Linked DNA regions of Xenopus tropicalis. The protein of the gene in region 1 purifies or fractionates together with the protein of each later gene. This does not show direct contact. Links are inferred from orthologs where the notes say so. Each region holds a gene or a part of one and is shown on either strand. Other genes may lie near its edges.

What was found.
Region 2: the proteins of snrnp70 (region 1) and cdc5l purify together in Homo sapiens (affinity purification with mass spectrometry; 3 studies listed by BioGRID and IntAct, counting the BioPlex papers as one, with this or other methods). This does not show direct contact. The link is inferred for Xenopus tropicalis from reciprocal best matches to the Homo sapiens genes SNRNP70 and CDC5L.
Region 3: the proteins of snrnp70 (region 1) and snrnp200 fractionate together in Homo sapiens (co-fractionation; 3 studies listed by BioGRID, with this or other methods). This does not show direct contact. The link is inferred for Xenopus tropicalis from reciprocal best matches to the Homo sapiens genes SNRNP70 and SNRNP200.
Region 4: the proteins of snrnp70 (region 1) and snrpd3 purify together in Homo sapiens (affinity purification with mass spectrometry; 6 studies listed by BioGRID and IntAct, counting the BioPlex papers as one, with this or other methods). This does not show direct contact. The link is inferred for Xenopus tropicalis from reciprocal best matches to the Homo sapiens genes SNRNP70 and SNRPD3.
Region 5: the proteins of snrnp70 (region 1) and mrps14 purify together in Homo sapiens (affinity purification with mass spectrometry; 3 studies listed by BioGRID and IntAct, with this or other methods). This does not show direct contact. The link is inferred for Xenopus tropicalis from reciprocal best matches to the Homo sapiens genes SNRNP70 and MRPS14.
Region 6: the proteins of snrnp70 (region 1) and tfip11 fractionate together in Homo sapiens (co-fractionation; 3 studies listed by BioGRID, with this or other methods). This does not show direct contact. The link is inferred for Xenopus tropicalis from reciprocal best matches to the Homo sapiens genes SNRNP70 and TFIP11.
Region 7: the proteins of snrnp70 (region 1) and srrm2 purify together in Homo sapiens (affinity purification with mass spectrometry; 3 studies listed by BioGRID and IntAct, counting the BioPlex papers as one, with this or other methods). This does not show direct contact. The link is inferred for Xenopus tropicalis from reciprocal best matches to the Homo sapiens genes SNRNP70 and SRRM2.

Annotation. Positions count from the first base shown.
Region 1 is NC_030683.2:113,680,841-113,685,533, reverse strand, and holds the start of snrnp70 (U1 small nuclear ribonucleoprotein 70 kDa), read right to left. Parts: upstream 3,128-4,693; 5' UTR 2,889-3,127; intron 2,598-2,888; exon of another isoform or gene 2,558-2,597; intron 1-2,557. UniProt on the Homo sapiens protein: Component of the spliceosomal U1 snRNP, which is essential for recognition of the pre-mRNA 5' splice-site and the subsequent assembly of the spliceosome. SNRNP70 binds to the loop I region of U1-snRNA.
Region 2 is NC_030681.2:148,154,792-148,158,797, reverse strand, and holds part of cdc5l (cell division cycle 5-like protein), read left to right. Parts: intron 1-2,157; coding exon 2,158-2,346; intron 2,347-3,794; coding exon 3,795-3,943; intron 3,944-4,006.
Region 3 is NC_030679.2:125,100,081-125,104,720, reverse strand, and holds the start of snrnp200 (U5 small nuclear ribonucleoprotein 200 kDa helicase), read left to right. Parts: upstream 1-1,334; 5' UTR 1,335-1,427; coding exon 1,428-1,472; intron 1,473-2,594; coding exon 2,595-2,758; intron 2,759-4,640. UniProt on the Homo sapiens protein: Catalyzes the ATP-dependent unwinding of U4/U6 RNA duplices, an essential step in the assembly of a catalytically active spliceosome. Plays a role in pre-mRNA splicing as a core component of precatalytic, catalytic and postcatalytic spliceosomal complexes.
Region 4 is NC_030677.2:152,605,225-152,609,784, forward strand, and holds the start of snrpd3 (small nuclear ribonucleoprotein Sm D3), read left to right. Parts: upstream 1-1,429; 5' UTR 1,430-1,452; coding exon 1,453-1,578; intron 1,579-4,019; coding exon 4,020-4,212; intron 4,213-4,560. UniProt on the Homo sapiens protein: Plays a role in pre-mRNA splicing as a core component of the spliceosomal U1, U2, U4 and U5 small nuclear ribonucleoproteins (snRNPs), the building blocks of the spliceosome.
Region 5 is NC_030680.2:98,126,389-98,130,834, reverse strand, and holds the start of mrps14 (28S ribosomal protein S14, mitochondrial), read left to right. Parts: upstream 1-1,582; 5' UTR 1,583-1,957; coding exon 1,958-2,002; intron 2,003-3,363; coding exon 3,364-3,531; intron 3,532-4,428; coding exon 4,429-4,446.
Region 6 is NC_030680.2:15,115,625-15,119,630, forward strand, and holds part of tfip11 (tuftelin-interacting protein 11), read left to right. Parts: intron 1-254; coding exon 255-361; intron 362-661; coding exon 662-830; intron 831-1,009; coding exon 1,010-1,253; intron 1,254-1,732; coding exon 1,733-1,875; intron 1,876-2,571; coding exon 2,572-2,737; intron 2,738-3,272; coding exon 3,273-3,625; 3' UTR 3,626-4,006. UniProt on the Homo sapiens protein: Involved in pre-mRNA splicing, specifically in spliceosome disassembly during late-stage splicing events. Intron turnover seems to proceed through reactions in two lariat-intron associated complexes termed Intron Large (IL) and Intron Small (IS).
Region 7 is NC_030685.2:12,492,575-12,496,580, reverse strand, and holds part of srrm2 (serine/arginine repetitive matrix protein 2), read right to left. Parts: intron 3,964-4,006; 5' UTR 3,941-3,963; coding exon 3,702-3,940; intron 1,210-3,701; coding exon 1,108-1,209; intron 818-1,107; coding exon 653-817; intron 551-652; coding exon 470-550; intron 1-469. UniProt on the Homo sapiens protein: Required for pre-mRNA splicing as component of the spliceosome. As a component of the minor spliceosome, involved in the splicing of U12-type introns in pre-mRNAs.

The DNA.
Region 1 (4,693 bases):
CATTTTATGATGGAATTAGACGCCAAGTATCAAAAAACAAACACCCCAGGGCAACCAGAGTACATTTCTTGCACCTTTATGTATTAATTGGCAAAGCATACTGGATCATTAAAAGGGGTGGCTCACCTTTAATTTAACTTTTAGCATGTTATAAAATGGACAATTCTAAGAAACTCTTCAACTGGTCCTTATTATTTCGCTTATAGTTTGAATTATTTGCCACCTTCTACAAACTCGTTGTAGCTTTCAAATGGGGGGTCATCGAGCCCCTAAACCAAGAAAACCTACTGCTCTGTGAGGCTACACTTTTATTGTTGTTACTTTGTCTCTCTCCTATTCAATTATCAGTCTCTCATTCCAATCATTCCCTGGGTGCTAAGGTAATTTGGAGCCTAGCAACCAAACCAGAGAGTTGACAAAACTATTGAAAATAGAAAAACTACAAAGAAAAAATTAAGACCAACTGCAAATTGTCTCAAACTAAAAGTTAACTTAAGGGTGAACAACCCCCTTTAACGTTCAGTATGATGTAGAGTTATTCTAAGAATTTGCAATTTTTTGCCTTTATTTTTTATTTGCAAACTCTGAATTATTTAGCGGATTGTTCAGCCGCTTTCTCTCAAAACTATTTGTTATACAGGGAGGCTCTTCTTAACCCCAATCACATACTTGATTTGTTACTGCCACTGGGTTTCTGACACTACAGTACCTGACAGACACCTTTACAGGCCAGGTAGGACAAAGGTTTTAAACTTTGCACCACACATGCAAATCTGGGGCATTGCTAGCGTATTACCATCACCTTGCAATAAAGGCCCTGAAGTGCGTGAATGCAGCCTGAAAGATGGCAGTGTGGCCAGGTGCAGGGGGAATGGTAAACAAGCGACTGGACTAAAGGGGGGAAAATTGCTCTCTAGAACCAATTCATTTACCTCCCTTTTCCTCCTAATTATGCACACAAAGAGGAATGCTGAGACGTACACACAACATTCTCAGCACTATACATTACTATAGGTACCAATATAAAGGGGAAATACAGGAAGGAGACAGGGGGCTACAAATACCCCAGGCCAGCACTACATACACCCACAGGTACCAATATAAAGGGGAAATACAGGAAGGAGACAGGGGGCTACAGATATCCCAGGCCAGCACTACATACACCCACAGGTACCAATATAAAGGGGAAATACAGGAAGGAGACAGGAGGCTACAGATACCCCAGGCCAGCACTACATACACCCACAGGTACCAATATAAAGGGGAAATACAGGAAGGAGACAGGAGGCTACAGATACCCCAGGCCAGCACTACATACACCCACAGGTACCAATATAAAGGGGAAATACAGGAAGGAGACAGGAGGCTACAGATACCCCAGGCCAGCACTACATACACCCACAGGTACCAATATAAAGGGGAAATACAGGAAGGCGACAGGAGGCTACAGATACCCCAGGCCAGCACTACATACACCCACAGGTACCAATATAAAGGGGGAATACAGGAAGGAGACAGGAGGCTACAGATACCCCAGGCCAGCACTACATACACCCACAGGTACCAATATAAAGGGGAAATACAGGAAGGAGACAGGAGGCTACAGATACCCCAGGCCAGCACTACATACACCCACAGGTACCAATATAAAGGGGAAATACAGGAAGGAGACAGGAGGCTACAGATATCCCAGGCCAGCACTACATACACCCACAGGTACCAATATAAAGGGGAAATACAGGAAGGAGACAGGGGGCTACAGATACCCCAGGCCAGCACTACATACACCCACAGGTACCAATATAAAGGGGAAATACAGGAAGGAGACAGGAGGCTACAGATACCCCAGGCCAGCACTACATACACCCACAGGTACCAATATAAAGGGGAAATACAGGAAGGAGACAGGAGGCTACAGATACCCCAGGCCAGCACTACATACACCCACAGGTACCAATATAAAGGGGAAATACAGGAAGGAGACAGGAGGCTACAGATATCCCAGGCCAGCACTACATACACCCACAGGTACCAATATAAAGGGGAAATACAGGAAGGAGACAGGGGGCTACAGATACCCCAGGCCAGCACTACATACACCCACAGGTACCAATATAAAGGGGAAATACAGGAAGGAGACAGGAGGCTACAGATACCCCAGGCCAGCACTACATACACCCACAGGTACCAATATAAAGGGGAAATACAGGAAGGAGACAGGAGGCTACAGATACCCCAGGCCAGCACTACATACACCCACAGGTACCAATATAAAGGGGAAATACAGGAAGGAGACAGGAGGCTACAGATACCCCAGGCCAGCACTACAAACACACACAGGTACCAATATAAAGGGGAAATACCCATAGGAACCTATATTAGGGAAAAACTGGGAGAATAGGGGCCACCAGGATATCAGCCCAGTGGGAAAAGACAAAGAGAATAGTGGAAGAAGAACTGGCGGCTACACATCTCAGCATATGGACTCTCCACATGTAAACAACGCTAGAATAAGTGGCCCCACAGACTCCGGCAGAGAAACACGTCAGAGCCGTACCTACAGTCGCCCTTACAGCCGCAGGTTCCTATATCCGGGCGCCATGTCTGCAACTGGGGCCCCACGTGATTCCCCGTACCAAAGAATGGAACCGCTGCACAACTCCGGCTGTAACTCTCCGCCACCGCAGCCCATACCGCTCCGCCTCAGTGCGGGGCCCCCACCCTATTCAGTAGAACGGAGAGCCTTAGCGCGCACATGAGGCAAACCCGCCATTCTCATGCATGGCTCTGGCGCCCAATCTCAAGGCCCCGGCCTAGTTCTACTACATACACATGGGAGCGCCCTAAACCCTAACGCTACTTTCCTCAATCACACACCCAACGCTTACCCACAGCCGTACCGAGACAGTTCCCGGAACTCAGCCTCTATCAACGCCGCTGTCCTGAGCAAACCGGGCGCCTCACACCCGGGAAATTCCCGTCTCCTTCACTGCACCTAGGCCGCACGTCGTGTGAATAGGCCACGGCCGCACTGCATATCAGATCCGAATCCCTCCGCGCACACGGCAAGAGCAAGATGCCATTAAACCACGCCCCTTTCGGAACAAGGGTTATAACACAATTGTAGATGTATTACTCCGCGACAGAGGCCGAGAAGAAAGAGCTCCGCTGGTTTTTGTGGCGGGCTCTATTTTTAGTGATTCTCAGCCTGTAGCATTTATTAGCCCGCAGACCGTCCGTGAGGGTAGTCTGGCAGTTGGTATTTTAGAATTAGTGCGGGTAGAATATTGAAGTGTTTACCTAAGAAAATGTAACTTTAAGCTACTTCGAGTCTTTAAATTACTCACCTCCTTAGACTGTAAGCTCAACGGGGGAGGGGTCTCATTCCCCTTGTCTTTTATAGACTTTTTTTTTATGTAATTATGCTTTGTATTTGTTATTATAGTAAAACATGTATTACTCTGTTGTTGTGCTGTACTGTGCTACATACATAAGTAGCCTTTATTAATAAAAATATGATTTTCACTGTAATTACGCTTGAAAGAAGTATCAGGTAGTTTATATCATCTGCACTGCTGGTTCTGACCCATGAAACAATGTAGCAGAAACCAGCTTTATATCAGATCTGGATAGGTTTGCCACCCCAATGTTATTAATAGGGATGGGTGGAAATCTCTTTTAAGGACAAATTGTATTATTTATGTCTGTATTTTATTGAAACTGTAGCATTGCAAAGGACCCCCCCCCCCCCCCCATTTTGTACTGTGAGTTGGTGTAACATTCAAAAAAAACTGGGGGCAATTAACATATTGCCACCCTCTGTTATTATGTTTACTTTGTCATTTAAATTGCTGTTTTTTTACCCAGGCTAGAGTGTCTCTTCAGAAAAAACACACCAACATGGGTGCTGCCATCTTACCTGCATTACCCAGAGATCCGTTTAGAACCGCACTTGTCTGAGAACCTTGCCTCAGCTGGCAGTAAGTGGGCAGTTTCTAGGGGCGGCAAAAAGCCTCTTCTTTAAGAGCCAAATTTCCCCCTTTTAAATGGAAATTGGCTCTACTTGTGTAGAGAGCACATTATTGTTCCTATGTCAAAAAGATAAGCATGGAGTGGGTGGGCTGGGCCAGTGGGATACAGGGAAAAAACCTGGTTGGCCCCAACGACCCAGACCTGATCCCCACCTGCTCCCCGTTGCTACTCACTGCTGCCATACTTTCCCCAACCCTGGTAAAAGTAAGTCAAAGTTGCACACGGTGGGGGGGAAGGGGCTGGCGGGATTTGAGTGGGCGGGTAGTGGGGGGGAAGGGGCAGGCGGGATTTGAGTGGGCGGGTAGTGGGGGGCCCTGAGTTAGGTGCCCCAGTGGGACTTGCATACCCCAGTCTGACCCTGTGTAGGTTGGCACATGGGATCAATGCAGGTAAGATGGCAGCCTGGTGCTCATTTTCTGAAGAGGAGTACTGGCCTGAAAAAAAGTTAGTAATTTCATTCATTGGGGGTGCGCTATACCATCTGGTGCGGAAAGGAGCTCCGGAGTGGGCAGTCATGTTTGTTCACACGAATGCGCATAATGAGTGATACTCCGGTCTCCGGCTCATTGTGTGACATAACACGCATGCGCACAGTAATAGAGCTTAGACTCTATTCCTAAAATGCCCACCCCACAACGGGAGCCCCCTCCTGGTGCGGGCA
Region 2 (4,006 bases), on another chromosome or scaffold:
TGTAGATAGTGGTAACTGGTGTTGGGAGGGACTTTAAGTTCCTGAATCCATCACAGAGAAAAGTAAGGTTGGAAAATGGTTTCTGCTTGGCACAGGTAATGCTGAAAAAAAGTTGTTTAATTTACAGTGGAGGAAATAATTATTTGACCCCTCACTGATTTTGTAAGTTTGTCCAATGACAAAGAAATGAAAAGTCTCAGAACAGTATCATTTCAATGGTAGGTTTATTTTAACAGTGGCAGATAGCACATCAAAAGGAAAATCGAAAAAATAACTTTAAATAAAAGATAGCAACTGATTTGCATTTCATTGAGTGAAATAAGTTTTTGAACCACTACCAACCATTAAGAGTTCTGGCTCCCACAGAGTGGTTAGACACTTCTACTCAATTAGTCAACCTCATTAAGGACACCTGTCTTAACTAGTCACCTGTATAAAAGACACCTGTCCACAGAATCAATCACAAACTTGGTCATCAATTACAAGAAACGTTTGACCTCTGTGCTTGCAAACAAGGGTTTTTCCACTAAGTATTAAGTCTTTTTTTGTTAGAGGGTTCAAAAACTTATTTCACTCAATGAAATGCAAATCAGTTGCTATCTTTTATTTAAAGTTATTTTTTCGATTTTCCTTTTGATGTGCTATCTGCCACTGTTAAAATAAACCTACCATTGAAATGATACTGTTCTGAGACTTTTCATTTCTTTGTCATTGGACAAACTTACAAAATCAGTGAGGGGTCAAATAATTATTTCCTCCACTGTAGATAGTTTATGTAATCCTTCTCCATTGCCAGGACCTCACTCTTTTCTAACTTAATCCCTGCTTTAGTGATCAGACACCGTAAACATTTTAAAAAAATAGCCTTAAAACAGTTTCCTATAGGTAATATCCTAGTTACCAAGCTGGTTGATCAGTGCATTTAAGGGCGAAGACACACAGAGCTTCTAGTAGCAGCTACTAAAATAGACAATGCCGATCATTTACTGATAACTGTCTCAGTATTGTCTATGGCAGGGTATTTTCTGGGGTTTAGTAGCCATGAAAAAGTAGCAGCTACTAGTAGCTCTGTGTGTCTTCACCCTTATTGGACAGATATTAGCTGCTAATTTGGCCCTTGCAGAACAAGTTGGCAGTTTTTTGGCCATGCAGTGTTTAAACAGCCCGTCTGATAGCTAACTTAAAATTTACCAGATAGCTATCGGGACGTATTTGCATAGGCAGTAATTATAATCTGATGTTGGTCGGGGCCAAATGACCAGCAGACATTACATGCCTAGCTAGCTTTAGGTGACGTTTCAGTGCAAGTATATGGCAGCTTTGCAACTTTGGGAATTACTTAAAATCTCAAGGCTGGCAGTGGAATGCGGGATTGGTGGGTGGGGCACTTGGCATGCCAATTTTATGGCAAGTTTTACTTTTAGTTGTTTAAAAAGAAAATAAATGATACATCTTTCATTAACTGTGCAGAAACTCCTGATAAAACAAAGACTCCATAAACTGTTCCATATGTATTAGGGACATTATTCTTTGTTTTTTTAATGTAATGGAAATAGAGTTACATTTGGAAGTACTTAATTCCTGGGGTGCAGGTGATTCTTGGGAAATAATTGGGGCCAATGCAGCAGTCAGAAAAGCACTACCCATCCCAAAGGGGTTGTTCTTTGAGTTAACGTTTAGTATGATGTAGAGCGTAATATTCTGAGACAATTTGCAATTGGTCTTAATTTTTATTTGTAGTTTTTTAATGTTTTGAATTTCTGTTCAGCAGTTTTCCAGTTTGGGGTTTCAGCAGTTATCTGGTTGCCAGGGTGTAACTTACCTTAGCAACCAGGGAGGGTTTTGAATATGAGACTGATATATCAATAAGAGGGAACCTGAATAGTAAAAAAAGTAACAATAAATTGTAGCCTCACAGAGCACTAGTTCTCAGTAGTGGCTTCCGGGGTCAGTGACCCCCATTTAAAGCTGGAAAGTGTCAGAAGAAGGTGGCACATTATTCAAAAACTATCGACCAACTGCAAAGTTGCTTAGAATTGGCCAATCTATAGGGAATCTCTAAGGAATGTGTTGTGTGTAACCCACCTTGTGTTTTCAATGATAAATACGTGTGGCGAGAAACATGCCCCGGAATGACACTTTCTCCTGTTGCATTAGATTTCAGATGCTGAACTGGAAGAAGTGGTAAAGATCGGGCAAGCGAGTGAAATAGCTCGTCAGACGGCAGAGGAGTCGGGTATAACCAATTCCGCTTCCAGCACGTTACTGTCGGAATACAATGTCGCCAATAATAGTGTGGCCCTCAGGACGCCCAAGACACCAGCCGCGCAGGACCGCATACTGCAGGTACATGGGTGCTTCCACGCTGTGACGGGTGCAATGTTTCTAAATTATATTCAGTTCTGTTATTTTGTAGAATTTTTTTGTTCCTTGCCTTCTTTTTTTCTTTTTATTCTTCTGAACTCTTTTCCCTCCTTAAGATAAAACCACCTTTCTTCTGGTCTGAAGGGATGCACTTTTGTCCCATGGCTTTCACCAGGAGATAGTGTAATTTAATATACAGGTATGGGACCTGTTATCCTGAATGCTCGGGACCTGGGGTGTTCTGGATAAGGGATCTTTTCGTAATTTGGATCTCCATACCTTAAGTCTGCTAAAAAATCATTTAACCATTAAATAAACCCAATAGGGCTGTTCTGCCCCCAATAAGGGATAATTATATCTTAGTTGGGATCAAGTACAGGTACTGTTTTATTATTACAGAGAAAAGGGAATAATTTAACCATTAAACCCAATAGGGCTGTTCTGCCCCCAATAAGGGGTAATTATATCTTAGTTGGGATCAAGTACAGGTACTGTTTTATTATTACAGAGAAAAGGGAATCATTTAACCATTAAATAAACCCAATAGGGCTGTTCTGCCCCCAATAAGGGGTAATTATATCTTAGTTGGGATCAAGTACAGGTATTGTTGTATTATTACAGAGAAAAGGGAATCATTTAACCATGAAATAAACCCAATAGGGCTGTTCTGCCCCCAATAGGGGGTAATTATATCTTAGTTGGTATCAAGTACAGGTACTGTTTTATTATTACAGAGAAATTAAATATTTTTTAAAAATGTGAAATATTGTGAATGTGAATCTTTCTGGATAATGGGTTTCCGGATAATGGGTCCCATATTTGGTGTAAACCAGCACAATTGGCCAACCTTTGTTCAACAACTTGGACTTTACATACCCTATATTAACTTACTTTATCTTTTCTGGATTTTCTCTGTTTCACTAATGCCATTTTTTGATTACTGTGGACCAAAACTGTACTTCCAAGATATAATTCCCCTTTCCTGCTGTAAATCTATAGCCATTGCTAAAGTACTGCAAAGGTCCAGTCAGGCACACCCAGCCAGACCAGCATCCCCAGGGGAACTCACTCCCGCACTTTTGCTGGGTACCCAGACAGGTTGCCTGCAGGCTGTCCACACACACAGGAAATTGAGGACCTTCTGTCCAAAACACGACCAAACAGACAGAAAATTGAGGACCTTCTGTCCAAAACCCCACCAAACAGACAGGAAATTGAGGACCTTCTGTCCAAAACCCCACCAAACAGACAGGAAATTGGGGACTTTTTTTAAAAAATGGTCACATAAGTTTACAATGTGCGCACAGCGATAAAGGAATTAGAAGAAACTGACTGAAACTCATCTGCTACTAGTTCTGAGTTCTACAAAGCGTGCATTATAGCTCAAAGTGCCTTTCTCTGCACCCACCCCCTATTTTTGTACCTTACAGGAAGCGCAGAATCTGATGGCCCTCACCAATGTGGATACACCATTAAAGGGAGGTCTCAACACTCCTCTTCACGAAAGCGATTTTTCAGGAGTTACACCTCAAAGACAAGTGGTACAGACGCCCAACACTGTGCTGTCCACACCATTCAGGTATGAGGAACACGCTAGTGCCTTCTGTAAAATTGGGACATTTCATTTTTATATATTTTTATT
Region 3 (4,640 bases), on another chromosome or scaffold:
TAGTGGTTACCTATGGTTATTATTTCGTGTACATACAATCTTATTTGCTCTTTAAGAAGCTTCGTGAATACACCTTCAGGTAAGTATTTAACAGCGCATTCATCCACAAAGGAAACGCTTAATATGCCGCTCACACAGTTACCTATTGGTTTGAAAAATCCTAGATTTTCAACTGGATGTATACATTACACCGAGCTTTACAGCGCATTTTTTTTTTTTTTTTTTGTGTGTCACATGAGGTTGAACTCCTGCAATAAAGGAGTATATTTTAAAGTCATACATAGTTCACTGAAAACCTATTCATACCCCTGACTATTGAATAAGAAATCCTGCTCTCCTTGGTTTTTCTTTTAAAGCACTTAATCTCAAAAAAAATTTTTAATGTGACTATTTTGTTAAAATAATATTGTTATATGTTGATTAATACCAACTTTGTACACTGTTCGAAAGTCATTTTGGCCCATTATGTGAAGTAGTTGTGCTTCAGGTTCTGGTAACTGAGATGATCCTTGTCATCGCCGTTTTCAAATAGCATCACAGATTCTCAGGTGGACTGGGACTTGGACTATGCCATTGCTTGAAATTTGGAAGAAGAGCTTTCTCTGGGTCCCCATCTGTTTTGCCAAACACCAGTTGTACTTTTACATGGTTCTTTTGGGGCAATGGCTTTTGTGTCTTCCTCCTATACAGGCCAATGTGTTATGCAGAACCCTTGATATGGCATGTCAATACCTACATATACAAACCTGATCCGCGCTTCTAAATAAACTAGTGATTAATTACAAAATGTGCTTTTTCCATTCATTAAAAAAAAAAAGGGTTTACCTCTGTGAGCTATATAGGAAAATTATTATGTAGTTGAGCTGCCCTCCTCTAACTAATCCAAAAAGTGCTCCTTATACTAACCTTAAAGAGTTGGCGCTCATGAAACACTACCAGTAATAAAATCAATCTATTTATTGCACAAAAATGAGAAATTCATATATTAAAAAATATAGGTGTTTTTTACTGATATTTTTTAATATATGAATTTCTCATTTTTGTGCAATAAATAAATTGATTTTATTACTGGTAGTGTTTCATGAGCGCCAACTCTTTAAGGTTAGTATGTCAATACCTACAGTAAAACGTGGGGATATATAGTATAATGTAGTGTAGCTGCTTTTTATCAACAGGGACGGGATATCTTGTTAAACATATATTTAAGTGCAAAATACATGGAGCTGAAACAACTATTTCAGCCTCCTAATACAAATAGATATCCTTTCACTGGTCGTATGTGATTTTCAATAAAGTTGCAAGGAAAAAAATGGTCGACGGAAGCGGCTTATGCTTGTACCGGAAGTGGAAACTCAGGGCCGGAAACTTCGTCTGGAGCGCGTTGTTTGCCCTGCGAGTGCGAACACGGCCGGGCAGCAGAGTGAACCATGGCGGATGTAACAGCCCGAAGCCTGCAGTATGAATACAAAGCGGTGAGTTTGTTAGGGGGAATATGTTAGCAACGAGAAGTGGAGTTGGGAAGATGTTAGCATGAATATTCAGCCTGTGGTTCGCCACGTAGAAGTGCGAGTTGTAGTTCGGCTACAGGTGCGGAGCTTTAGGGTGAACGCGTAGGGCTTCTCTGGAACATATTTAATAGAGTAAGCCAGTGTTCTATTGGGACTCCTGTAATCGCTGAGTCTGCTTCCTTTGTAATTGTATTCTTAGAAGGAATTGAACACAGTGTTGACGTAGCTATTGTTGAATATTAATAGGGGGCCGCCAGTTTGAGTTCTTACACAGTTGCATACAATGCCATAGCTTTAGCTGTTTCATTGCTTGTACTCTTAGCTGCATTACAGTTTCAATATGACACACAGTTGGCAGCCAATGTTTACATCAGACCATAGTTACATAGGGTTGAAAAAAGACCAGAGTCCATCAAGTTCAACCCATCCAAGTAAACCCAGCACACCTAACCCACACCTACCAATCTATACACTCACATACATAAACTATATATACAACCACTAGTACTAACTGTAGATATTAGTATCACAATAGCCTTGGATATTCTGCTTGTTCAAGAACTCATCCAGACCCCTCTTATAGGCATTAACAGAATCTGCCATGCATTTTTAGACACAACAATTATGCTTTCTGATAATGCATTTGATAACTGATGTCTCTCATTACATTATTACATTAAAATTACATGGTTTATATGGCATGCATGCCAGGTTAGAGCTTATAAATATGTATTGGGTCATAAAGAGTACAAGAGAACCCTGATTTTAGTTTTCCAGGGTCAAACTGTAAATCTTGGAAACTGTAAAATTGTGATTCTACTGTAAGAGAGGTAAAGAGAAAGTAACTTAAATTGTCTCCTTATTTCTTTAATGGATCTTATTGCAAAAGTGTGTGTAAAGCACAGCAGACATTATTCCAGGGAAAACTACTAAAAATCTAATTAGCTATAGTTAATTAGAAAACAAATATGGCATTGTGTTATTGGAAGCAAAAAAGGTAAACATGAACTTAATTAAACATTAGCTTCATAGCCCCTAGCTTATTGCACTGAATTCTAATTTATTTATTTATTTTTTGCAATGCAGAACTCTAACCTTGTACTTCAAGCTGATCGCTCCCTGATAGACCGTACCCGCAGAGATGAGCCCACAGGAGAGGTTCTCTCGTTGGTGGGGAAGTTGGAAGGAACTCGCATGGGGGACAAAGCTCAAAAAACCAAGCCACAGATGCAGGAAGAAAGACGACTTAAGTGAGTGGCAGTGCCAAAATGTCTTTCTGTAATAAATGTGATAGGTGTACAGGGTGGGCCATTTATATGGATACACCTTAATAAAATGGGAATGGTTGGTGATATTAACTTCCTCTTTGTGGCACATTAGTATATGTGAGGGGGGAAACTTTTCAAGATGGGTGGTGACCATGCTGGCCATTTTGAAGTCGGCCATTTTGGATCCAACTTTTGTTTTTTCAATAGGAAGAGGGTCATGTGACACATCAAACTTATTGGGAATTTCACAAGAAAAACAATGGTGTGCTTGTTTTTAACGTAACTTTATCCTTTCATGAGTTATTTACAAGTTTCTGACCACTTATAAAATGTGTTCAATGTGCTGCCCATGGTGTTGGATTGTCAATGTCAATGCGCCAATTGTGCATGTAACACTGTGCATCTGAAGTTATAGTAGTAAATATTAGTTTATTCCGAATAAGCTGAAATGGATAAAATAATGACATTCAGGTGAGAATGAATTGTTCTGCACTTTCCTTCAGGTCTTCTGTGAAGTTCTGTTTATGTACTGTATTTATATAGAACTACTTGTTTTTATCTTTAACCCTTATAAGGGTAATATTTTTAAATACCAGCCATTCTTCCAAGGCAATTTTCTTTTGAAGGATATATTTAGTGAAATGTCAATTGTTTGAAATTTCAGAGTAGTGATGATTTTAATTCAAGTACATACAATATAAAACTGCTGTATATTTACCACTATGCTGTAGCCTTATAGAGTATGAATTTGTTAATAAAATATACGTTTTGCCATAAAAGGTTTTGCAGTATTCTAGGAATGAAATTAGAACAGATGCCTTTCAGATTCAGAAAATGTATGTTTATATGTGTTGTGTATATATATAGATGATAGTAACCATTTACTGTACCAAGAAATATTTTGTCCATGTGATTTGATTATTTTAAAGGGGACATATCGTGTAAAAAACAGTATTGTGCCAATGATTTGTACTGATCTAAATATAGAAGAAATGTGCTTTAAAAAGTAGTGTTTTAGGCTGATTTATTGGCACTGGTCATGCCAATGTGTTCCTCTTCCTTCTGCCTTTCCTGGGTTGTGCAGGGGGGCCAGCACACTACACTGTAGGATAGGAACCAATCAGCAGCTAGGCTGACCTGATAGGGAACTGAATCCTGTATTTGCTTGTGTGACTGCAGGGCTGTGATTGACTTTTATTTTTTTAACATACCGGTAGGTTAATTGGCTCTGAAAAAATTGACCATAGTGTGTGAATGGGTCCTTTGGAACCAGGGACTGATGTAAATGATGTATAATTCCTATGTCTGTGTCATGGATATATAAGTAAAAGGATAACAATAAACATTTAAGTAGGACTGAAACAAAGCATGGCGATAATATATGGAATGATAATGTTTCTTGGAATCCTTAATATAAACCCCTGAACTGTGGCTTATTGTCAAGATGATATAGGAAAATCCAGGCAGTTGTAAGCTTCCCCATATATGCTTAAATTAAAGGAGTAGTTCTCCTTTCAAATGCTTTTCAGTTGCTTTCAGATAGTACACCAGAAATGAAGACTTTTTTTCCAATTGCTTTCAATTTTTTTTAATATTGAATTTTACAGTTTTTTTTCACCTCATGTCTCCCTGCAGCAAATCTGCAACTAATGAGTTGATACATTTTACATCTTTGACCCTGCTGAGTGTAAGCTGAGTTTCATTAAAGTCAGCTGTTCTAATTGATACAATAGTTGCTTACATTTATATACTAAAGAGAATCAACTAATGTAGTAACAGTTCTGCACCTGGATTACTGAGCTGACAGACTGAAACACTGGATACATTTAAAGGGGTAGTTTTCATTTAATCTCTAGTATGTTAT
Region 4 (4,560 bases), on another chromosome or scaffold:
TTACCCTTACCTCAAGATTATGTGATGGTTTTACTAGCGCAGCCTGCAATTTTAGGCTAATGGCACAAACAGCAGTTTCAGGCTGCAGTGACAGGTTAATTCCAGTCCTGTATGTGCACATACATACATTCATGGTAGAATGGGGGGTGAATCTACATTTTACAGCAGTGAGCAGGGGTACATTTTTGTGCACAGATGCCATTTTGTCCATTTTACTTAATGTTGCATGTGCTTTCTGGCAGTTCAGAAACAATGCATTCAGCAGATATATAAACAAAATAAGCCTGATCATTCTGGGCCCATACATATGCCAGCGGTCTGCCAATTCAGTTAATAAAGTCAGAATCAGCACCTATTAAAAGCGCAGACTAAAAGAAACAGTCTGATCAGGTGCGGACTGGAAATGGGGCCTTGGCATTTAATTATACGCGGATACCCAAATAGCCCCCTATCACCCCAATAAATAGTGTCTGTGACATCTTACAGCAGCCCTTCTGGCATTTATCACAATCCACAGATTGCACGTCTGAGTCTAATTGGAGGTTTCAGCTCAAGATATTTAATAATAATTCATAATATATAATATGAAAAGTTGCAGTGCAACTAGCCGCTCTTAAATGGTGTGAATAGATAAATGGGTTGATGAGCGGAACTAAGTCACTCATATCTGTTTCCCACCGGAAGTTGTTTGCTTGTGCAGTCGCCGGGAAAAGGGGGCAGAGAGATACGACAGCCTGTTTCCTTTCGCTGTGCATTGTGGGGCAGGCGGGACGCCATTAGAACGCAGAACAGAGCCACGCTAGTAAGTATTACCCAAAGCAAACAAAAGTTCGGTAAAAAGTCTGCGCTTTGCAGGATTGTCAGAGAGGCCCGGGGGTTGCAGCGTGCGGATATCTGGGCGGGGTGTGCGTCTCGGTTACTCGGCGCTTGTTCGCTTTCCCTTAGGTCTGTGCGGTTGGCAGCTTTGTATGAGTGTGAGCAGGGCTTCCCTCTAAATATTGCCTTATGGTGAGGTTATATACAGGGTGCCGGGCCCAACGCATCTCACTGTGTTACCAGTCCGTTATCCGTTTCTATAAATATTCCTGCCTTAGGCCGGGGGCACTGAAACGTTTGTGTAGGCCTCAGTGCCAGTATCCCAGGGAACTCATTCATTGAGGGTTACTCCTCTGCTTCTGCGGGTTGTGCTGCTGCGATGTCCTAACGTGCATGTGTTTCTGAAGGGCTGGGCATGTTTGTGTGCATATGTATGGCTGAATTTATAGACTGTAAGTGATTAAAGCTTTAGGCTGGATAAACATTATGTAATAAGGATTTTTATTTGAATATACCTTATAGTTTGCACATGGCTGCATTGTATGCAGTAACCTGCGTTGCGCTTTGTATGTTCTCCACGTTTTTTTGCTAATTTTTATTTCTCCAATTGCAGGTTAATCTCCATTAGCTCTCAATATGTCTATCGGTGTACCAATTAAAGTCCTTCATGAGGCAGAAGGCCACATTGTGACATGTGAAACTAACACCGGAGAGGTATACAGGGGGAAATTGATTGAAGCAGAGGATAACATGAACTGCCAAGTAAGTAAAATAAGCAAGTCATTCGTATTATATCTATAGCAAGTGCACCTAAACTTATAAATATTTACCTTATGCCATGTTTGTAAGTACGTTGGTGATTGCAGTATAAACTCTAGTGATAGACCTTATGGACCAACAATTGTAAAGGCTGTGTTAAACTAAAAATGTGTGTGTGAATTGTTAGGGGCAAAGTATTTTCCAAAAGGCACCTATTTATTCCCTATATAGTGCCTCGGTTACCCTATCCATTGCAAAAGAAGCAGTTATATTGTGGTCAGAAGCGTAAATAGCTTAAAGGAGACATGGAAAAATAGGGGAAAAAAAAACCTAATTTTGTAGACAATTATGAACAATATATGCTGCGGGTTTCATTTGGGCTAAAAAATACTCATCTGTAAATATGGCCTCTTTATTGGAGCTCCCTGTAGATCCTATCAGTTCTCTGTCCCTGTTTAAAATGAAGGGTGGGCGTGTCCTAACGGTCCCTGCCAGAAGCACAGTAGGAGGGGGGAAGGCAATCACAGCCCAGCACTCACACAAGCAGAGACAGGCTTCAGTTCCCTATCAGGTCATCCTAGCTGCTGATTGGTTCCTATCCAGCCAGCAGGAAGTGGAACAGATGGGCGGGACTATTAGGGTTTTGGTGGAATTTCTCAATAAAACAGTCCAAAAAACAATTTTTTTTAAACCACAGTCCTTCTATATCTAGAGGAGTATAATTTACTGGTACATTCTTAATTTTTATACAATGTCTCCTTTAATCCTAATCTATTTCAATTTCCTAGCTGTGTCTCTAGATGTCAGTATATTCACAGTAAAGCTCAGTGATAAGGAGCAGAAGTAAAATATGTAAATGCTGTTGTTGCTATGCACTTTTAAACTGTTAGTTACAGGAGCCTAGTTAGTGGGGTGTGGCTACACCCGTATTGCATTCCTGTTGTGTAATTTAAAAAATATTTAGGGTGACAATTTCCTTTTGCTCTTTTTACTAAGCACTCTTCTGTTGTTCATGTATAAACTTCTCTTTTAACATGGAGAAAAGTCTCCTTTATCTACCCACAGAAGCCAAACGGTAACATATTTTGGTGTTCCTATTCTTTTAAACTATGTAAGTGTTTCAAAGTAATCAAAATACGATGTAGTGTTACCCTGCACTGGTAGAACTGGTGTTTGCTTCAGTAACACACAGCAGCTTGGATGGCTGCCCCCACTGATACTACTATAGTTCATATAAATAAGCTGCTGTGTATCAGTGGGGGCAGCCATCCAAGCTGGGATAAACTGAGTAAGGGCTCTGGCACACGGGGGAGATTAGTCGCCCGCGATTAACTCCCTGTTCGCGGGCGACTAATCTCCCCGAGTTGCCTACCCCTGCCATCCCACCGGCGAACATGTAAGTCGCCGGCGGGATGGCAGACGCGGCGGGGCGATTTCCGGAAATCACCGAAAAAGACTTGCGAGTCTTTTTCGGCGATTTGCGCGAAATCGCGCCGCCACGTCTGCCATCCCGCCGGCGACTTACATGTTCGCCGGTGGGATGGCAGGGGTAGGCAACTCGGGGAGATTAGTCGCCCGCGAACAGGGAGTTAATCGCGGGCGACTAATCTCCCCCGTGTGCCAGAGCCCTAAAGGTGCTGGTTACATAAGCTGTATTGTATTTTACAGAGCTTATCTTTTTGTCACCTGTGCCATTCAGCCCTCTTTGTTTGAATAGCTGCCCCCATGCAGCTTTATTTCTATAGACCAGGGTTTCCCAACCTTTTGTACCTGTGAGCCACATTTAAATGTAAAAAGAGTTTGGGAGCAAATGAAGCATAAAAAATTCTTTTGGGTTGCCAAATAAGGGCTGTTATTGGCTATTTGGTAGCCCTTATGGGGACTGGAAGCCTACAGGATTGTGCTGGCAATACAGCTGGTTTTTATGCAACAGAAACTTGCCTCCTTACCAGAAATTACAAAAAATAAGCACCTGCTTAAAGTCCACTGGGAGCCACTGGTTGGGCATTACTGGTATAGACTATAGCAGTGTTTCTAAAGCATTTTAACGCAGCTGTATATTACCTTGTACAATAAATAGGTTGTTTTTGGCTATTTTAATTAAAAGGGTCCTCCAGCCAAAAACTGTTTTTGTAATGAAAAAATTTAATTCTACGCAACTTGGATATACATTAAAGGAAATTTAAAACTGCAAAGACTGGTCTTCTAAACATTCTTCTACTGTGTATGAATGTTCTTGGTGCTGTCTCCCAGGAAAAGAACATGGTTTTGGCTATTCTTTGAGCTAAACAAGGGGGAGACATGAGTGTGAAGTCAAACACGATCCCGTTAAAGCTTTATAAATATAAAACATTGTAATAGAATTCCTCACATAGTGCTGTATGTTAAGCCTGTGTCCTTTTTTCTTCCCTCCATGGATGCTTAAATTGTACTTTGACTTTCAGATGTCAAACATCACTGTAACGTACAGGGATGGCAGAGTGGCACAACTAGAACAGGTCTACATCAGAGGCAGCAAAATTCGTTTTCTCATCCTCCCAGACATGTTGAAAAATGCTCCCATGTTAAAGAGTATGAAGAATAAAAACCAGGGTTCTGGTGCCGGCAGAGGAAAAGCAGCTATTCTCAAGGCCCAAGGTAAGTTTTATTTGTGTAGGGGCAGGGTTAACAGGGTGATGTCTGTAAAATTCCATGATCATCATTAAAAGCCCTCCGTTCCCTTGGTTTAAGTTACTAATTGTTAAATTAGTTTATTTTGTTATTGGAAGGAATTGTTTGTCCAAGGAGAATAGGAAGGGAAAAACAAAAGGCATAGAGAAATATGAGAGAATATATTTACTCTATACCAAAAAGTCACACTGTCCTGCTCCCATCACTGTGAGAAGTGAATCAACAGGCAGTTTACTCGCCCTTCAATCACCACACTGTATAAGTTTTGAACTTGTTTAATGATGATGATCAAAAGAAGGTAGAACTGTAGGTACA
Region 5 (4,446 bases), on another chromosome or scaffold:
TGCCCTGTGGCACCTGTATATCATGACTCATGACAGACATAGGTAGCCAGGGCCCCCTAAAACATTGGTTATCAGGACCCCCCTAAAACATTGGTTGTCAGGGCCCCCCTAAAACATTGGTAGCCAGGTGTTATGTTTTGCATTGGTGCCAGAGCAGGGACCCCCTAAAATATTGCCAGCCAAGCCAGCCCAGGGCCCCCTAAAACATTGCTGGTCCTCCCCCAGTATCCCCATACTATGGGCCACTCCCCACTGCAGCATCCTCCCCAACATCCTCCAGTTCCCCCCAGCATCCTCCCAACATCCTTCAGCTCCCCCCAGCATCCTCCCAACATCCTCTAGACCCCCAGCATCCACCCAACATCCTCCAGCTCCCCCCAGCATCCTCCCCAACATCCTCCAGCTCCCCCCAGTGTCCTCCCCAACATCCTTCAGCTCCCCCCAGCATCCACCCAACATCCTCCAGCTCCCCCCAGCATCCTCCTGCTCCCCACAGCATCCACCCAACATTCTCCAGCTCCCCCCAGTATCCACCCAACATTCTCCAGCACCCCCCAGTGTCCTCCCCAACATCCTCCAGCTCCCCCCAGCGTCCTCCCCAACATCCTTCAGCTCCCCCCAGCATGCACCCAACATCCTCCAGCTCCCCCCAGCATCCTCCTGCTCACCACAGCATCCACCCAACATCCTCCAGCTCCCCCCAGCATCCTCCTGCTCCCCACAGCATCCACCCAACATTCTCCAGCTCCCCCCAGTATCCACCCAACATTCTCCAGCTCCCCCCAGTGTCCTCCCCAACACCCTCCAGCTCCCCCCTGCGTCCTCCCCAGCATCCTTCAGCTCCCCCCAGCATCCACCCAACATCCTCCAGCTCCCCCCTAGCATCCTCCTGCTCACCACAGCATCCACCCAACATCCTCCAGCTCCCCCCAGCATCCTCCCCAAAATCCTTCAGCTGCCCCTTACCTTTCTCCAGCTCCTCCCAGCGTCCCCCCCACCATCCTTCAGCTCCCCCAAAACGTCCTCCCCAGCATCCCCCAGCTGCCCCTTACCTTCCTCCAGCTGCCTCCTAGCGTCCTCCAGCTGCCCCTTACCTTCCTCCAGTGTCCTCCCCAGCGTCCCCCTGCTTTCTGTGGCTCCCCCTGCTCCTACCACCCCCGCCCGCTTGCTCCAGCTGCGCCACCCGGCTCTTCTTCTCCTCCCCGTGACGTCACACGCATGTCTCTCGGGAGCACCACAGCTTCTGCGCAGTGAATCTCTAAATGTTAGAACTGAACTGAGCGGCGCAGAAGCTGCGGTGCTAATGAAAGACGTGATGTGACGTCACGGGAGCAGAGAACTTTAAAACCGGGACAAATCTGCGGCAATCAGGGACTGCGGGACAGAGTGGCAAAATCGGGACAGTTGGGAGGTATGCTCTTGGGGTAACTGAGACTTACAGCTTAAAGGGAAATTTCACCTTTTTCATCAAAACTATAATAACACATAAAACAGGACCCCAAAACTCACCAGAAATGTGTTCAAACTTTAAATAACCTGCCAAATTTAGTCAAATGGGAGTGGTATTTAGGGGGTGTGGTCACAGAAATGGACATGGTCAAAAAATCGCACCACAGGCTGCAGCATTTATTTTTGTCCCTCTTTCCATTTGCAAAATGCTACACAATTGTTTTAACTGTGCATTTTGCACTTACTAGAATAAATATAATAACATTCAGACTGTGCCAGCCTTATAATCTACGAGGCCCAAATTGGGTCAAAATGCTTCAAGCTCCAACTTCTAACGCCTCATATATAAATTCGAATGCGGATGACCTTCAGCGGATTTTTTTACAATCTTAAAGCTTGCTGCCATCTACTGGCGCAATGGCATAGTTCACACCATTGTAAGTCTATACAAGCCACGCCGCTTGTAAGTAACAAAGTTGCTTGATTTTGAATAGCGTCTAAAAACAAGATGGCGGCTTCCATGCTGGGGAGTGTGTTTCGAAGCGCTCGGCAGGTAAATGGGACGATGACATTGACAACAGGCTGGTGGGCATAAAGGGCTGCGGGGAGGAAGACAATGAGTAAATCAGTAGAGCTAAATAAAGGGTGTAGTGATACCAGCGGCACTCACACGCAATAGGGTCCCTGCCCTTGGAAGTCCGGCAGCGGAAGAATCTCAGGGATAACTGAAGAAAATAAGAGTCCTCTAGTATTGTTTATTTGAATTATGGAAGGTAGTGCTACTCTCCGTGCAGCCTAGCATTGGGGTATTTCACCAATGTTATATATTCACAAGTTATATGGAGCCTTTTGTTTTTGCCAAATAAACACTTTGAATGGGGGGCAGCTAAATACTTATAATTAAAAAAAATGTATTTCCTATAATCAAGTGAATAAAAGTCCCATGTCTGGGAACCTATGCCAGATACTAAGCGCCCCAATAAGGCCTGTTTACATGTAAAATAGGAGTAGCGGGGCCTCTCAAATAGCATCAGTGATGACATGTGGCTTATATTTTCTTCACTGGAGGTTTATACGCCTTTATCTTGCTAATTAACATTACAACTTTTTCAAGAGCGTGGCCAGGTACTATATTATAAATATATAGAAGAGTAGTAATATGTTTGGTTTGGCCAACATGTGCGTTTGATCATTTTTAAATGGTACATATGCAGCAGCCATTTATGTTTAGGGTATTGGAAAACTTTGAAATAAATGCATTTTTGGGGAGGAATGTTTGTTCCAAATGCTGTAGACTTTGTTTTATTATTAATTACATCCCTCACCACCCACGCTAGGGACTCATTACAGTAGCTTATAGGGATGAACATTTTTTCCTTTCCAAGAGAAAACACGCGTAAAGGTACCAGTAGCAGGCCCAGAGTGACAATCTGGAATTGGCTTACACTTCAGTGGCCAAAATGCAGAAGTATCCATTTTTTTTTGTTATCAGAATGGCCAAACAAGTAGATTATGATATGTATGGCCCCAGAAATACTTTACAATATTAATCGATAATTCTAACCCCTTATCCGGAAACCCGTTACCCAGAAAGTTCCGAATTACGGAGAGGCCATCTTCCATAGTCTCCATTATAAGCAAATAATTCTAATTTTTAAAAATGATTTCCTTTTTCTCTATGATTCCTGTAATTATAAAACAGAACCTTGTACTTGGTCCTAACTATAATTAATCCTTACTGGAGACAAAACAACCCTATTGGGTTTAGTCAATATTTAAATGATTTTAAGCAGATTCAAGTTATGGAGATCCAAATTACAGAAAGATCCCTTATCCGGAATACCCTGGGTCACAAGCATTCTGGATAACAGGTTCCATACCTGTACTGTTAAAAAAAATCTTTTTTTTTTTCAGTTGTTTCCTTGGCCTTCTGCAACTTGTACAAATCAAGTCCGAAATTACTACGTTGACTGGAGGATGTTTCGGGATGTTAAAAGGAGGAAAATGGCATATGAATACGCTGATGAGAGATTGAGAGTCAATGCTTTGCGGAAAAACATTATTCTCCCTAAAGAACTGCGGGTATTTTATTTAAGCAATTCAGTACATCGGAGCAAATGCCCCATATTTACTATAGATACTATAGTTGGTAGTTTGATTTTGAAAAATACGGTTACCAAGATGCTACAAACCACCTGTTCTAACCATCTGAAGGTTGTTCCTCTCCTCTGGTTTGGACTACTGGGTGATCACAAACAACAACTTTATATCCTACTCCTTAAAATGATTATAGTGATCACACACATGCTTTAGAGGTTGCATATGCCAATTAATTGAAGGGGTTATGCAGTAAAATGCACTAAGTTTACCTAGGAGCAGTAACCCATAGCGATAAATCAGCAGGTAGAATTTTCTGGTTACCTGTATAAAAGGAAACATCTTATTGGTTACTGCTCCTGGGCAAACTTAGTGCCTTTAATTACATGTGGGGGTTAATGCTCTCAAGCTGTTACAATAACAATCCCACAACATTATGCACACAATAATTCAATGCTAAGTACGCATTAATCTATCTGCTCTCACTCCCTGTAACTTTTTTTTATATGGTGTACATTTGTCGTTCTTATGCTTTTGTAAGGCAAGAAATTGTAATTATTAACATGTTCTTAAGTTTGGGTGCATGTTTATAACTTATTCTGTTTCAAAGCACAGCCAAGATAGTAAATGAAGAAGCTGGTCATTATACAAGTTGATAAATAAAGCTTAATGTGATACTACAGCAGCCAATTGTCTCACCAAGGATCAGTCTAAAAGTGGCCACACATGGATCTGATTGGGCAGGTTTGATCAAGAACCCCTTGGGCTCATTGGCCAAAAATTACACATAGTATATGGCCAGCTTACCTCTGATGTTTGTGTCTTTTTGAACATTTATTAAACTGGGGAAAAATAAATCATCTGTTTCTCTTTTTTTCACAGGAAGTGGCAGATAAAGAA
Region 6 (4,006 bases), on another chromosome or scaffold:
TTTTTGGGTCGGGATTCAGGATAAGTGTCAATTCGCTTAAGGGGGCAGTAAAAACTGGGAAGTTCCTCCCCTATTGTGCCTATTATATGACATATAGCACAGCAGGAGATGGTGTGTTGATGGGCTGCTGACACTTAAGGGGCTGGGGCATTACTGATGTTATTCCAAAGCAAGATCATCCTATTACCTTTAACATATGTGCCCTGGGCCTATCCTTGCCCCAGTTTCTAATTGCTCTCTCTCTTCCTGCCTAGGATCCTACTTATGGGACTGATGTCATGAGTAAGTGGAAGAACCTTCTAGAGGAAGGTCACCTCCTATCTCACAGTGCACATGATGCATCTATGGACCCATACCACAGGTACCAATTACTCCCCTAGCCCTTTAGTTAAGTATTAGGTGGGCATAAACTATGTGTAAATCATCCTCCCAATGAAAATGTACCAAATAAATCACCCCCTTCCTTTCATAAATATCAGTTTCCTTGTTTACCTGGCGTTGGGTTGTGATGCTTTCCGAAGCTGCCCATAAATAAAGCACCCCCCGGTCACTAAGGGGTTAACTAGAGCAAATGTGGAGACAAAATGCAATTGATTTTTTGTGGATCATAAACTTTTAATGTGTTGTTTAAACCTCAGTGTTATTCTCTGTTCCAATGCAGATTGCTGTGGGAGACGTGGGTTCCCCTGTTGAGGAGTATCATTGCCCAATGGCAGCCCAGAAACTGCGCTCCCATGGTGGACTTTTTAGACTGCTGGGTCCATTTGCTGCCAGTCTGGATCCTGGATAACATACTAGATCAGCTTATTTTCCCCAAATTACAAAAAGAGGTAAGTAAGTTCCTTTGTTATCACTTATATGTGTGAGCAAACATTATTATGTCGTGGGCCACAGTATTCTCAGCATCTGGGCTTAGTACAAGAGAATGAGAGTGCTGTATTAGTCAGAGCTGGGCCAAGGCACCCATGGTTTTATATATTAATGTCATTCTTTACATTTCTGCATTAAGGTTGAGAACTGGAACCCCCTGACAGACACCGTCCCAATCCACTCGTGGATTCACCCCTGGCTTCCTTTGATGCAGTCGCGGCTAGAGCCACTCTTCTCTCCCATTCGGAATAAACTTGCCAACGCCCTCCAGAAATGGCACCCCAGCGATTCCTCTGCCAAGCTGATCCTGCAGCCCTGGAAGGAGGTGTTTACGCCAGGCTCTTGGGAAGCCTTCATGGTGAAGAACATTTTGCCAAAGCTAGGTGCGCTGGCGCTAATAAGAACATCTGTGTGTTTATCCACAATTTCATTTATTTACATTTCATAACAGGAATATCCAGTCCTATCTGTTCGTATATCCTGCTCTTTCTACAGTTTCAAGCTGAACTATGCTACTAATTTAGCCAATAAAAATAAATATTTGGGATTTATGTAGTAATATAGGTAAAGCTTCCCCCAATCAGTATTCTATAGCAATTAATCAGATGTTTGCTTTCATTATTCTGATTGCACTATATAAGTTAAAGCTGCCATCTTGTTCCTATGGGCTATTGGCTCAGATACAAATTACTGCTCCAAATGAGCGACCCATGATAAAAGTAAAGTGGCCACAAACCAGCTGACTTTTGGGGTATCCAAGGATTTCTCCCAAGCAATGTGCATTCCCTCTCCTGCTAAAATGGGGGTTCAGTTGCTCATCTCATGTACAGACCTCCAGTGACTCTTCTCTCTCCCCCTGTAGGCATGTGTCTCAGTGAGTTTGTTATTAATCCGCACCAACAGCACATGGAAGTCTTCCACTGGGTCACTGACTGGGAGGGGATGGTCTCTTTGTCCAGCATCGTAGGGATCCTGGAGAAACATTTCTTCCCCAAGTGGCTGCAGGTAACTATATTGTTGGAAACCATAATGGCTTTGCATTGAATTTGAATTTGGAATGTTTTACTATAAGAATCATTATTGTTTCCCCAAGTAGAAGTAGTCTGTGTTTGTGCACAGCTACAGGAAGAATGATATGCCCTGTTATAATAAAACCATAAAAGATAAATAAACCTTTAAAATAAATGAATGTAAAATTGCTGAGATTGCTATTCTAAGCACCTTTGCTGTTTTCATGTATTATTTTTTTATTCTTAAGATATTAAAGAACAAAGTACTGTTGACATTGTTTTACAACGGTGAATTGTGTTACAACAGTGCCATCTGCTGGTCAGTGTCCGTCCATGATGACGATGTTGTCAGGAGAAAGAAAGAGGGCTGATCTGATGCTCTTCTGGTTAGGGAAACATTAGAAACCTCAGATAACTTTTTCTCATCTGAATGTAAATTGCAAAAGTGCTTAGAATAGCACCCCTATCAATTTTACATTCACTTATTTTTAAGGTTTACTTATCCTAAAATAAGCCTTTCTGCAGTGTTTGTGGTTGGTAATAGGCTTCTCAAAAGCAGAGTTAAAAGAAAATGGCTCCTGTCAGCACACAGTAATAAAGCAGTAACTCCATGTATTAGGAAATGCGAGTGTTGCAGCTGTGAGGATAGATAAATACAGTGTTTCCTTATTGCCCTTCTGCTTCTTCTTAGGTTCTGTGCTCCTGGCTCAGTAATAACCCCAATTATGAAGAGATCACCAAGTGGTATCTCGGCTGGAAGTCCATGTTCTCAGACCTGGTGTTGGCTCACCCGGCCATCAAGGACAAATTTAATGAGGCTCTGGATATCATGAACCGGGCTGTGTCCTCTAGTGTCGGTAAGTAAATATATATTCTCCTATTCATATCTGCTCCTGTTTAGTAGGCTTCTGGTGGGCAAAAAACGGATCTGCCACTGTGTCAGTGAAGGGACGAGATAATAGGGGATTAATCTAATGTTATGTGAAGGATAAAGCAGTGATAGAAGAGCTGACATTATTTCATAGCTCTTCTCCCAATGCATCAGACTCTAACATTATTTCTTTGAGGGATTGAGGCTGTAGAAGAAGAGCTGATGGTCTTTCTTTGAGGGGTTAAGTGGGAGAAGAGCTGACTGTATTTCTTTGAGGGGTTGAGGCAATGGAAGAAAAGCTGAGAGGGCCTATTATTATATCCATAGAAGACCAATTCGATACCACTATGAATAGACTAAACAAACTTGCAGTGAGACTAGAATAGATGCTGTATGATTATATGAGTATAACAGTGCATTTGGATTACGGTTTGATGAGCAATGTTTGGGTGCAGTGGGTGCCGTGCCTTATGTTCTTTATTCAGTACATGACCCAACTGTCTCTTACTTGCCTGTTCCAGGTGCCTACATGCAGCCGGGGGCACGGGAGAGCATCGCCTACCTCACGCAGACCGAGAGAAGGAAGGACTTCCAGTACGAGGCTATGCAGGAGCGGCGAGACGCGGAGAGCATTGCTCAGAGAGGAATAGGGGCTGCAGCGGCTGTGCCCATGAACTTCAAGGACCTGATCCAGTCCAAGGCCGAGGAGCACAACATCGTATTTATGCCTCTAATTGGCAAGCGTCATGAGGGGAAACAACTTTACAACTTCAACCGCATTGTGATCTATATAGACAGAGGCGTTGTGTTCGTACAGGGAGAGAAAACGTGGGTGCCCACTTCCCTGCAGAGCCTTATTGACATGGCCAAGTAGACTTCTAGTCATACGGCAACTGTCAGCCACCCCTGGACTCTGTATATACCTGTATCTAATGGATTTGATAGTGTTCGAATACATTGATGGGTAGCTGATAGCACTTCCTATGTGACCTACTGGCTTCTTGTTTCCGAGGGCTTAATCCAATGAATAGAGACTGACCTGCAATTATTTTTGTATTTAATAAATCCACATTGCCCTTGTGTACCCAGGGGTCTAACCGCATCCCAGGATCTTTGTTATGCGGGCCTAGGTACCCATCATTGTACAAGAGTAGTGATGGGGGAGCACCCACATACACCTTGCACCCTATTAGTAGCCATGTTTTCTGTTCCTCTAGGGGTAGGTGCATTGGTTCTACCCTGGCAAAGGGGGACT
Region 7 (4,006 bases), on another chromosome or scaffold:
GGATAGAGCTCGCTCACAATAGTTAGGCGCGTCTCTACCATAATAACGTGTGCGCGTTCTCATTAAAGCTATGCGAGACTGATAGTCTCTATAGGGAGGGGGAGAATTGAAGGAGTGGTGACGTAGAATAAAAGGAGACGCCTCTATGCCTAAGGCATAGAGGCGTAGCTGAATACTTTTGATTGACAGGGCATAAAGATAATAGGCAATATCTGCGGAAAGACACAGAAAAGGAAAAAAAAAAAAAAAGAGAGCGCTGCTTTTCTGCACTATCTGAACCAGTAGCTGAATTTTCAGGTGAGAGTGACAGGTCCACTTTAAAGGTGAACTGCTCCTTTAATACAGATGAACAATAATTGGGGAAGGGGGCAGAGCTAAATTAAAGCAAAGTACACACAGGAGGAGCCTAAGAACTGCCCCGCCTCTAGAGAAATAACCATGTCTGCCCTCAAACCCCCAACACACTTACCGTCCACGATCTTTCTTTTTCTTCTTTTTCTTGTGTTTGGTGGGAGAAGGGGAGCGAGAACTGCCAGAATCTTCAATCAGACTACAAGAGGAAGAATCTCATTAACCCATTAAGTCCTCAGTGTACAGGAAAATGCACTGGAGGAATGCCATTCCCCCACATACCATGAAAGCTAATTCTTACCTATACTGCTTCTGCTGCTCCTGCTGTTTGGCTGCTGCATTGGCAGCTCTGCGATTGGGGTCGAAACTGCTCCCGTCCACATAGCTGTCACTGATCCCGAAAGCCTCACGTAGCCGCTCATTCTTCTTCTCGTTTGCTTCGGCCATTTGATGCGTCTCTGAAATACTAAACACAGAGAAAGTGTGTAAAAATGGGGAGTAATAAACAAATAGAATCAGTTAACATGTGCTTACACAGTGAAAATAGCTTCTTGCAGCCCCAGGTGCACGCTGTACCCACTGACGGGCAGATAAATACAAAAATGAAGAAAACAGCAGCACTCCGGTTGTTTTGAAAAATGTGAGTCTTTACTCAAGTGCCAAAGGCAACGTTTCGGGCTTCACTCCAGGCTTGATAAATGAGATATACCCTCCAATAAAGGCTTGCAGCTCACAAAGCTTAGTTTGGCCACTTACTTGGCTTTCTGCTTCTCCTCTTCTTTGCTTTGCGTCAGATCTTTCTCTTGCAGCATCAGTCTGAATGTGGCCACTTTCTCTTGGATCTCAGCTTCGCTGTACCTGGAGCGCACACAGAAGAGCATTGAGAAATTAAGATAGGGTATTATACAACTTGAAACGTTTCATTTGCTGCTTCCTTTAAAGGGGCATCTCACATTTAAATAAACTTATGTTATAGAATACCCTATTTTTAGCAACTTGTCCATTGGTCTTTTTTTTTTTCTATTTGCCTTCCTCTTCTGCCTTTTTGCAGCTTTCAAATGGTGGGGCCACTGACCCCAGTAGCCAATAATCCTACTGCTCTATGAAGCTACAAGGTTATTGTTACCGTTTACTTATATTTCGATTCAAGGCCTCGCCTATTAGTCTTCTTGCCTTTCATTCAAACCACTGCCTGGTTGCTAGGTTAAACTGGATGCTAGCAACCAAAACCTGCTAAAATCCCAAATGGTAGAGCTGCTAAACAAAAAGCTATCTTGAAAAAAAAAAACAAAAAATGAAGATCAAATGCAAATGGTCTTAGAATATCACTGTCTCCATCATTTTAAAAGTTAACTGAAAGTGCACTGCCCCTTTAAAGGCAAACTATACCCCCAGAATGTATACATAACCAACAGATAGTTTATATTTTGTTAAGTGACCTATTAAAGAATCTCCCCAAACTGGAATATATATATCAGTAAATATTGCCCTTTTATATCCTTTCCCTTGAGCCGCCATTTTGTGATGGGCTGGGTGCTCCCTCAGAGATCAGCTGACAGGAAATAATGCAGCTCTAACTGTAACAGGAAGTAGTGAGGGAGCAGAAGGCAGAACTCTGTCCATTCATTGGCTGATGGGGCCTAGCATGTATGTGTGCCTTGGCTTGTCTGTGTGCACTTTGACTCCTATGATCCCAGGGGGCGGCCCTTAATTCTTGAAATGGCAGTTTTCTATTTAGGATTACCCAATGGCACATACTACTATAAAAGTATATTTTTATGAAAATGACTTATTTCGATGAAGCAGGGATTTACAATATAAATATGCAATATATTTGTTATAGAGACCTACATTGTTTGGGGGTATAGTTTTCCTTGAAGTGAATTTACGCGACTCTAAGCTAGTGTGCATACTTAGTGCTAGGCAGCCAGGCCTTCTAAAGTTCATTTTTTAAAGCAAATAGCCTCAGGGCCTGAACTAGGGGTAGGCAGAGGAGGCAGCTGCCTAGGGCGCAACAATTGGGGGGCACCAGACAGGAGCCTCTCTTGCCCACCCCTAGTCCGCTCTTTTTAGTCATTGCCCCTGCCGCTTGTCATGTGGCACAATGGTGAAGTGCAGAGCTGCCACACTGTAGCAATCTATATAGCATAAATGGCAACTAGTCCTATACAGGTATGGGACCTATTATTCAGAAAGCTCGGGACCTGTGGTTTTCCAGATAAGGGATCTTTCTGTAATTTGGATCTCCTACCTAAAGTCTGCTAAAAAATTATTTTAATAATACAGGTACTGTTTTATTATTACAGAGAAAAGGGAATCATTTAACCATGAAATAAACCCAATAGGGCTGTTCTGCCCCCAATAAGGGGTAATTATATCTTAGTTGGGATCAAGTACAGGTACTGTTTTATTATTACAGAGAAAAGGGAATCATGTAACCATTAAATAAACCCAATAGGGCTGTTCTGCCCCAATAAGGGGTAATTATATCTTAGTTGGGATCAAGTACAGGTACTGTTTTATTATTACAGAGAAAAGGGAATCATTTAACCATGAAATAAACCCAATAGGGCTGTTCTGCCCCCAATAAGGGGTAATTATATCTTAGTTGGGATCAAGTACAGGTACTGTTTTATTATTACAGAGAAAAGGGAATCATTTAACCATTAAATAAACCCAATAGGGCTGTTCTGCCCCAATAAGGGGTAATTATATCTTAGTTGGGATCAAGTACAGGTACTGTTTTATTATTAGAGAAAAGGGAATCATTTAACCATTAAATAAACCCAATAGGACTGTTCTGCCCCAATAAGGGGTAATTATATCTTAGTTGGGATCAAGTACAGGTACTGTTTTATTATTACAGAGAAAAGGGAATCATTTAACCATTAAATAAACCCAATAGAATTGTTCTGCCCCCAATAAGGGGTAATTATATCTTAGTTGGGATCAAGTACAGGTACTGTTTTATTATTACAGACAAAAGGGAATCGTTTAACCATTAAATAAACCCAATAGGGCTCTTCTGCCCCAATAAGGGGTAATTATATCTTAGTTGGGATCAAGTACAGGTACTGTTTTATTATTACAGACAAAAGGGAATCATTTAACCATTAAATAAACCCAATAGGGCTGTTCTGCCCCAATAAGGGGTAATTATATCTTAGTTGGGATCAAGTACAGGTACTGTTTTATTATTACAAAGAAAAGGAAATCATTTTCAAAAATTAGAATTATTTGCTTATAATAGAGACTATGGGAGATGGCCATTTTGTAATTTGGAACTTTCTGGATAATGGGTTTCCGGATAACAGACCCCCATACCTGTACTGGTTTAATGTGTCTCTTACCCTTGCTCCTCCATCATCTCCTCCAGTTCCAAACATTTTAGCTCCACCTTTCTTTTCCTCTCGTGATCTAAGATATCCTGGTTTGGTTTCTTCACCAGGAGGTTTTCCAGCTTCTTCAGTTCCTCCTCGGACTTGTAATCGGTCCTGTCCTTCTTGTGTCTGACAGAGGACAGGTTGCGTTGGACGTAGCCATTGGTTCCACTGCCCCTTGGGGTGGGGAGTCCGATTCCATTGTACATTGTGCTCCTAGGGAGTCAGGGTCCTAAAAGAGAGATAAAATAAGATGTTGGTAGAGCAGAAGAGTT